Saccharomyces cerevisiae S288C: one gene and its partner. The main gene of each other region encodes a partner of the protein of the gene in region 2 in a complex. Each region holds a gene or a part of one and is shown on either strand. Other genes may lie near its edges. A codon is read from its position in the direction of its gene.

Region 1 (2,675 bases), on a different chromosome or scaffold from region 2:
CGGGAAACGGATTTCTCGTTCTAGGCCTCGGCGGCTCTTAAAATTGTAAAATGAAAATGAGAATAAAATTAAACTATACACAGCTGATCAGCGTTCTAATGAAAAAAAAATGCATTGGAAGGAAAAGCCGAAATACTTCATTTTCTGGGCATTGACGTTCTGTTGCCTCTTGTGCATACACACTTGTTTTTATTGAAATCGAGCTTATTGTAAGAGAACTTGCGCTTATCTTCAAATGCCGCTTTCCTCGAAAAAGCATTTAAACATCATTCAAGATTATTAGTCTATCAAGCTTGTCCAGACTGCTTGTTATTATGTAAAACAAGTATGTTGGTATTGTATTTGATTGCCGATTCTCATATCGCCATACACGAACCAATTATGCATCATAAAAAAAGCGTAGTTCTTTTACCCGACCAACCAACTTCTTCCTTTGTCCTCAATATCAAAGAAAAAAAAAAAAACCCACTGCTCAGATGTTATAAGGAAGGGGTGTTAACTTATATACAGGTTCATCTACCAGTCACCAGTCCATACAAACTTGAACCGTCTGCGTACCAGTCCTAATCAAAATGTTCCCTATCGCTTCCAGAAGAATACTGCTCAATGCTTCAGTTCTGCCATTGAGACTGTGCAATAGAAATTTCACTACCACAAGAATATCCTACAACGTCATACAAGATTTGTATTTGAGGGAACTAAAAGACACCAAACTGGCTCCAAGTACCTTGCAAGATGCTGAAGGTAATGTTAAGCCTTGGAACCCACCACAAAAACCAAATCTACCAGAATTGGAACTTCAAGGCCCAGAGGCTTTAAAGGCTTACACCGAGCAAAATGTAGAAACTGCTCATGTTGCTAAAGAGTCTGAAGAGGGTGAGTCAGAGCCAATTGAAGAGGATTGGCTAGTTTTGGATGATGCTGAGGAAACCAAAGAAAGTCATTGAACTTTTCATAGCATCCTCCTTGTCGAAGAAAAAACAAACAGAACCACAAGCTGAACAAGATCATTATTTTTGGCTTTCTTCCTCTCATCTTTTTATATTCGAATCCAGTACAATAAAGAAAAAGCAAAATACACTACGCACTCTTTGTAATCAGCCACACAAAATGCAGAATTTATTTTTTAAACAAAAAATACAATTGTACATAGACACGTCTTTATCTTTCCTATTACTACTATTCTTTTATTTCAATAACTATTACTTTCTAAGTATGACCTACGCTTCTTTGGTAAATAAATAATGATCCGTTTATGAAGGACATGCGTGGTTCGTCACCTTAGGATAATATCGCTCTGGACGAAAGCTCATCCCACCGAGATAGAAAAAAAATTTTCGTTTCTTTTTTCTTTGGCGAAGATTTTGAAAAATTTGAACTGTATGATCAACTTTTCCTCACCTTTTAAGTTTGTTTCGTTTTTAAACAGGAAGAACTGCTCCTTCAACATTTTTCCCTCAATCGATTTTTAGTCCAGTACAAAAGGAAAATCAAATAAACTCATTTATATTATAAATGTCTGCCCCAGCTGCTAACGGTGAAGTTCCAACATTCAAACTAGTTCTTGTCGGTGATGGTGGTACTGGTAAGACCACTTTTGTCAAGAGACATTTGACCGGTGAATTCGAAAAGAAGTACATCGCCACCATTGGTGTCGAAGTGCATCCTTTATCCTTTTACACCAACTTCGGTGAAATTAAATTTGATGTCTGGGATACTGCCGGCCAAGAAAAATTCGGTGGTTTAAGAGACGGTTACTACATTAACGCCCAATGTGCCATCATCATGTTCGATGTTACTTCCAGAATTACTTACAAGAACGTTCCAAACTGGCACAGGGATTTAGTCCGTGTTTGTGAAAACATCCCAATTGTCTTGTGTGGTAACAAGGTCGATGTCAAAGAAAGAAAGGTCAAGGCCAAGACTATCACTTTCCACAGAAAGAAAAACTTGCAATACTACGATATTTCTGCCAAGTCCAACTACAACTTTGAAAAGCCTTTCTTATGGTTGGCCAGAAAATTGGCTGGTAACCCACAATTAGAATTTGTTGCTTCTCCAGCTTTAGCCCCACCAGAAGTCCAAGTCGATGAACAATTGATGCAACAATACCAACAAGAAATGGAACAAGCTACTGCTTTGCCATTGCCTGATGAAGATGATGCTGATTTATAAGGGACAAACGAGAACAAGCTTTCTTTTTTCCCTACCCTAAACTGTATACATATTTACATTCATCTCGATATAGAAATTCAATAAAAATCCACATGATTTTGAAGATTTTATAATTGCAACAAGAAAACACAAACTAACTGGTACTCCTGTCTTTTATAAAACAGATTTAAATATATAACAAATAGTTGAATGTGAATATGCTGTGATTTAAGTATATTTAAACGTATTTGGCTTGTCTAATATTATATTTTTTAGATCGTTTATGGATCGTTTCAAACGGATGTAGGAGCACACGTAACAATTAGATTATATCTTTGAACATAAAACCAATAGCCTTAAAATCAAAGAAACGTCTCCTTCAACTTGCGTTAAAGGCATACCAAAGCAAGCTTATTCAACCATGGTTACCCTTGAATACAATGCAAACAGTAAACTGATCACTGCGAGTGATGCTGTTGTTGCACTATCTACCGAAACTAATATCGATCAAATAAATGTTC
Region 2 (6,012 bases):
CCCATATTCGGAAAGAACCTTATTGACCTATTAACGAAAGATAGAAGGGTTAAATATGATAAATCAAGCATTATTGATAATGAACTAATAAAACCCTTGCAAACCAGGGTATTGGATAATAGAAAGATCATAGATACCTTTGCAGTGTTAACCCCAAGTGCCGTCTCACTAGATATGAGAAAGTTGGCATTGGGATTAAATGATGACAGTTCGGTAGGCGAAAACACAAGGCTAAAGGTAATGCAGAACTGTTTTGAAGTATCCAACCCATTACACCAACTGCAAACCAAATTAACAATCGCATTCCCGGACAAATCGCTGCTTCAATACGATTGTGGTAAATTGCAGAAGTTAGCAATTTTATTACAGCAGCTGAAGGACAATGGACATAGGGCACTTATCTTCACACAAATGACAAAAGTTTTGGACGTTCTGGAACAGTTTTTAAACTATCATGGTTATTTGTATATGAGACTAGATGGTGCCACAAAGATCGAAGACCGTCAAATCCTAACAGAGAGATTCAACACTGACTCAAGAATAACGGTATTTATCCTATCAAGTAGATCAGGAGGGCTAGGTATCAATCTGACTGGGGCAGATACAGTTATTTTTTACGATTCAGATTGGAATCCAGCCATGGACAAACAGTGTCAAGATAGATGTCACAGAATTGGACAGACTCGAGATGTGCATATTTACAGATTTGTCAGCGAACATACCATAGAAAGCAATATCTTAAAAAAAGCCAACCAAAAAAGACAATTGGATAATGTTGTTATTCAAGAGGGTGACTTCACAACAGATTATTTCAGCAAACTTTCGGTGAGAGATTTATTGGGATCCGAATTGCCCGAAAATGCTTCAGGTGGAGATAAACCACTAATAGCAGATGCAGATGTGGCAGCCAAAGATCCCAGACAACTGGAAAGACTTCTTGCGCAAGCGGAAGATGAGGATGATGTTAAAGCTGCAAACTTAGCCATGAGAGAAGTCGAAATTGACAATGACGATTTCGACGAAAGCACAGAAAAAAAAGCAGCTAATGAAGAGGAAGAAAATCATGCTGAACTTGATGAGTATGAGGGCACTGCCCATGTTGACGAGTACATGATCAGGTTTATTGCCAACGGTTATTATTATTGAAGGACCAGGTTCTACTCTTCACCGCTGCCTTAGTTGTCCAAATCGGACTATATACCTATTGTGAATATTTTAATGATATATAGCCATAATGAATCAACAAATTGTATTATTATTTCCGACAACACTATCGCCTCTTGGTTTTTATGGTAATGTACTCACCATGGCATTGTTCCTTGGTCACCAATTTCTATTTACCGGGTGATGGCGGCGCGCCACAGCGGAGGGGCATTGCCACATTGCTGCGCGATCAAGGTTGGTTTTTCCAAAGAGACTTCAAGAGTACTAAGCTTTTGATGTAGTAATATTTGTCAAAGAGTTTTAAGAGCAAGATTCCATTGAACAGAGGTGCTGGAGTGACGAGCGTGTGTGTTTTTAGCCTATCTTTATTCGTTGAGCCTGTAGAAGAGCCGTTCTTTTAAGTACACCCTGATTAGATCCCCCTATTTGTTGCAACCGTTCAAGTTTTGTAGATCGGAAGAAGAGCAAAACAGAAAAATAAACAAGGCGAGAACGTAAGGTGTCATTGCATTAGCCATTAAAAACCATATTCACTCTTTACATTCGTGTAGCAATTGTTACTGTGATAAACTATTGAAATTATTTATAGTATATTTTGTTTTCTTCCTTTTAATCACTTTTTGAATTTTTAGAATCTGAAATTTTTTTTCTAACGTTGATTGGAAGAAAAGTAATGGATTCCACAGGCGCTTCTCAGATTGTTAGCGCACTAGATGTTATTTACTCCCCCAAGTCTAACAATTCTCAACGGCAAGAAGCTCAGAAATTTTTAGATGAAGTGAAATTATGCTCAGAATCGCCCTTTTGGGGCTACGAAATTGCATTGCAAAACCCCACTAATTCTATATTGAAATACTTTGGACTAGGATTACTAGACCATGCAGTGAAGAAAAACTGGAATGATTATGACGAGGGGAAAAGAGTGGCCCTGAGAAAATGGGTCATGGAACTTAATTTTGGGGTGCAAGATTATGATACCAGATATATTAAGGAAAAATTAGCCACTTTATGGGTAGAGGTGGCAAAAAGAACATGGGGTGAGGCTCTTAAGCAGACAAACCCTACGGAAGAACAGTTACTCACATCTTGGGTGGACATGGACAATAACCTTTTCGAACTTTGGAACATAAATCAATCGTCAAGAGAACTAGCATTAATAATTTTCAGAATCCTTTTTGAAGATGTTTTCTTGTTGGACGACCTAATTGTTTTGAAAAGGATGACGGTTATTCAACCCTTATGTGTAATGATTGTTTGCCCTATTGAAGTTTTCGCAATAAAATACAAATTCAGTGATAAATGGACCAAATTTAAAGCTAATGAAGAGGGCTGGTTTTCTGTTTGGATTCCAGAGTTGAATAATGCATTACAACAGAATAATTCTGAATACATCATAAGGCTTTTAGAAACTCTGAAGACGTGTTTAAACTGGCCATTAACAGAGGTCATTGTAAGAAATGACGTGTTATCCTCCTTATTGACTTGTTTATCCAGCAATATCCCAAGGGCGCAGTCAATGGCATTAGACTCGATACATATTCTGTTGACCCGTCCCTATAGTAATGAAAGCCATTACCAAATGACCATAGATCGAGTTTTTGATAATATGGACTTATTAGATAGCGTTTATGAAAGCTTGTTGTTTGATCCTACAGATGATATAGATGAAACGAAATATCCTATAATTAAAAAGTTCGTGGATATGATCAGTTGTCTCTATGTTTGTGTCCCAAAGATTAAGGAGACAAATGGCCAAATTCAAAAATATTTTAAGCTTGTATTAAAGACAACTTATAACCCAAGCTTAATCGTTAGCGGATTAACATTAGACCTATGGTGTACCTGTCTTCGAAACGATGAATACTTACCCAAGCTGGAGAAATATGTCATTCCTGATCTACTACAGTTTGCCGCGGATGCTTTAGTCTATTATGAACAGATTGATGGTCATATTTCCAAAAAATTTGCGGAGATTGATTTTCAATCCAAGTCCGAATTTCAAACATTTTGTTCCACTTATAGGAAAAGAATAAGAGACATCATTAGGTTGATTTCTTGCGTCGAATTAGACCTTACTTATGATTGGTTGAACAACAGATTAAACAATTATTTCAGCTCTCCATTTGGTCAGCAGGTCTTAAGTTCCACATTTTTGGACCATAAATTAGAGCCTTATTTAGGTGCCCTCTCCCAATACATGATTGTTGAATGTTTCATCAATGGTTGTATAAGATGGAAGATCTGGTATCCAACAGGAGATGATTATGACGAAAAACTAGATTCCATATTACAAAAACTGGAAATTTTGTCAAACCAGTTAATTGCATTAAATTTAAGAGAACCATTGTTATTGAAGAAACAAATCCAAAATTTTGCACTTTTTTTGACAATGTTAAAAGATAATGTGCTTTTCACACTTTTAGAAAAAATCATAACAAGCGCCACGATGGACTATCCAGAAATTAATTTGGAAGAGAGAGGCGCTGAATCAGACGCAGTTAGAGATTTGAGATATGCTTGTGGTATCGAGTTGAATAGGATGGCTTTATTAATGCCCGAATCTCTGAAAAAAATATACCCAGACCTTGAAAGTGTCATTGCCAGAATCATGCCCAACTTATCTTACCATGAAAAAATTTCCTTCAAATCCTTCTTATTGATCATTGTATTGAAGTCTTCATTAGATATGAAAGAGGAAAGATTTGCGGCTATTGTGGATCCAGAACTTTTAGCCTGGTCTGATAAAACAACAGTTGTTGGTCTTTCTGATTTGCATTGGTTTATGGAACGCTTAGGTATTGTTCAGATCGCAGAATATTTCCAGAGGCGTGATATCGACGAAAATAGTGACCTTTTATCAATTCCAATTGATGATGAGGGTAAAGAGCTGAAGTCGGAATTGACCAAACGTTGGCAAAGCTTGTTTCCTGTTCGTGCAACAAGAATGTTCATTCATTATTCAATGCAAAGTATAAAGACAGATGAAGAATTCAAAATGCTACAAGATCTGTGGAGACCTAGGATTGTCCCAATATTACCTTACATCACGAGACTACTGTACCAATTGCAATCCTACCACGATCCAGATAATTGGAAAGGATTACCTACGGTTGTGCAATCCTTCGTCAAGTATTCCACTATTGAAAGATTTTGGGAGGCCGGAGCTTCAAATAAATCAAAGGATGAGTTTATTGATGAACATATGAAAGCGATGCAAACCTTACGAGACTTCGCCGACTCCGTAGGACACATCATTAGGTATACAAGGGAATACACTCTACTTGTTTTAAGTGCCATATCATCACTTGGTAGTGTTTTTTACCTTTTGGACGAATCGCCCGACCTACTACTGAACTCTATTGCCATATTTAAGCCAGGTAGCAATGAGATAAGCCCTGGAGTTTCAACACATGGATGGAAACACATAATGAATATAGCCATTCGTCCTATATTAAAAGGTTGTCCAAAAGATTGTCTGGGGAAATTCATGCCCGCATTTTTGCCTAAATTATTTGAAATCCTGGACCTGCTGCTATGTCAGAAATGGTCCTCGCATATGAATGATATGGACATGAACCCAGTTCCAACTGACGATGATCAAATGACTGAAGAAATTTTGGAAGAGAATTTGTTGAGACAACTAACCACAGTTGTTGTTAGAATAGTAATTGATTGTGTTGGTCAAGGCAATGCCAATCCAAACAGTGCTAAAAGCAGGCTAAATAACCATCAAATGGAGATGAGAAAAATTATATTTAATGATTTAAACACCCTTGCTCCATTTTTGAAACTTTTGAACCATTTAATTTCCTTCAAGGATACAAAATGTTCATTTAACTCCATCCTAGTAATGAAATGCTGCTTAACCTCAGTCCTTAATCAAAACAACACGGTGGATGAATATTTCACATTTGAAGTGATGAAAAATCTGTTGCTAAATGTGCTGTGTAATAGTGCGTTTAAGGATTCTTTCCATGAGGCACTATATGCTTTCACTGTGATTTTTTTGACTCTGTGCAAAGAATATCCCTCTGCTAGAGCGTTCCTTTTTGAGATATCTAATGGTTATAATATTGATGAGTTATACAGAAATTTAAGGAGCGTGGACGAATACAAAACACAAAGGGCACTCATGATTGATTTTATAGATTGGGTTAAATCCACCAGTGGGAAAGAAGATGGTAATGTGGACCATGCAGGCGATGAGAGAAAAAGACAAGAGAAAAGGGAAGCTATCCTCAAGAAGGCAAATGAGAGATTAATTAAGAAGAATAAAGAAAACGGAGACATGCTGGATGATCCGAACATTGAAGACGGTGCTGTGGGTAATCTCTTTGATGACAACTGATAATAAGGTGCCATATATACGTAGATGTGTAGATGAAATTAGAGAAAGCAAATAGACATCTGAATCGTGCTAAAAATTGTAATTATTGTGAAAAAAAAAATTCTGTATTCGCAATTTTTTTAATGAAAGTCGGCAGCCGGTAAATATGCATATAATCAAGCGTTTTAATGTGGGTCTGAACAAGGTATTTCTGAAGATTTTTTCTTCACATATTCCCTAATATTTTAGCGAAATAGGAAACCATTGGCAATGGAACAACTGTGTAAGAGGTACGTGCATACACCGGCGGCTTTTATACAAAACATTGTTGCTAACACTAAAAGAACAACGCTAGCCACGCAATTATCTGTTGAAAAAGCTAAAAAAAAAGTTCCCAAGACAGCTCTTAAAAAGAAACTTAATAGTAGGCCAAAAGAAAGGCTTCCGAATTGGCTAAAACTAAACGATGTTTTTAACATACATTACGAAAAGCCATCTAACTCTGATATAAATAAGGTTAA

What was found.
Region 1: the proteins of MSN5 (region 2) and GSP1 are in contact, whole or in part, in a cryo-EM structure (PDB 9D45), measured with the Saccharomyces cerevisiae proteins. Residues at the interface, in NP_010622.1 of Saccharomyces cerevisiae: Leu13 (codon at 1,874), Ile16 (codon at 1,883), Tyr17 (codon at 1,886), Pro19 (codon at 1,892), Asn23 (codon at 1,904), Arg26 (codon at 1,913), Gln27 (codon at 1,916), Gln30 (codon at 1,925), Leu33 (codon at 1,934), Asp34 (codon at 1,937), Lys37 (codon at 1,946), Ile58 (codon at 2,009), Tyr61 (codon at 2,018), Phe62 (codon at 2,021), Lys73 (codon at 2,054), Arg103 (codon at 2,144), Tyr104 (codon at 2,147), Glu107 (codon at 2,156), Thr111 (codon at 2,168), Ile166 (codon at 2,333), Glu169 (codon at 2,342), Leu174 (codon at 2,357), Arg242 (codon at 2,561), Glu245 (codon at 2,570), Arg278 (codon at 2,669), Asp329 (codon at 2,822), Glu332 (codon at 2,831), Pro336 (codon at 2,843), Ile434 (codon at 3,137), Gln437 (codon at 3,146); in NP_013396.1 of Saccharomyces cerevisiae: Arg31 (codon at 1,606), Phe37 (codon at 1,624), Lys39 (codon at 1,630), Ile45 (codon at 1,648), Gly46 (codon at 1,651), Val47 (codon at 1,654), Glu48 (codon at 1,657), Val49 (codon at 1,660), His50 (codon at 1,663), Asp64 (codon at 1,705), Trp66 (codon at 1,711), Glu72 (codon at 1,729), Gly76 (codon at 1,741), Leu77 (codon at 1,744), Arg78 (codon at 1,747), Asp79 (codon at 1,750), Gly80 (codon at 1,753), Tyr81 (codon at 1,756), Ile83 (codon at 1,762), Asn84 (codon at 1,765), Arg108 (codon at 1,837), Arg112 (codon at 1,849), Val113 (codon at 1,852), Glu115 (codon at 1,858), Asn116 (codon at 1,861), Val126 (codon at 1,891), Asp127 (codon at 1,894), Val128 (codon at 1,897), Lys129 (codon at 1,900), Asn145 (codon at 1,948).

What each region holds. Positions count from the first base shown.
Region 1 is NC_001144.5:720,271-722,945, reverse strand, and holds GSP1 (Ran GTPase GSP1), read left to right. Parts: upstream 1-1,515; coding exon 1,516-2,175; downstream 2,176-2,675. Other genes in the region: ATP14 (F1F0 ATP synthase subunit h), read left to right, coding at 573-947; Sec63 complex subunit SEC72, read left to right, coding at 2,576-2,675. UniProt on the Saccharomyces cerevisiae protein: GTP-binding protein involved in nucleocytoplasmic transport. Required for the import of protein into the nucleus and also for RNA export. Essential for cell viability.
Region 2 is NC_001136.10:1,139,331-1,145,342, forward strand, and holds MSN5 (karyopherin MSN5), read left to right. Parts: upstream 1-1,837; coding exon 1,838-5,512; downstream 5,513-6,012. Other genes in the region: chromatin-remodeling protein SWR1, read left to right, coding at 1-1,146; translation initiation/elongation factor MRX8, read left to right, coding at 5,762-6,012.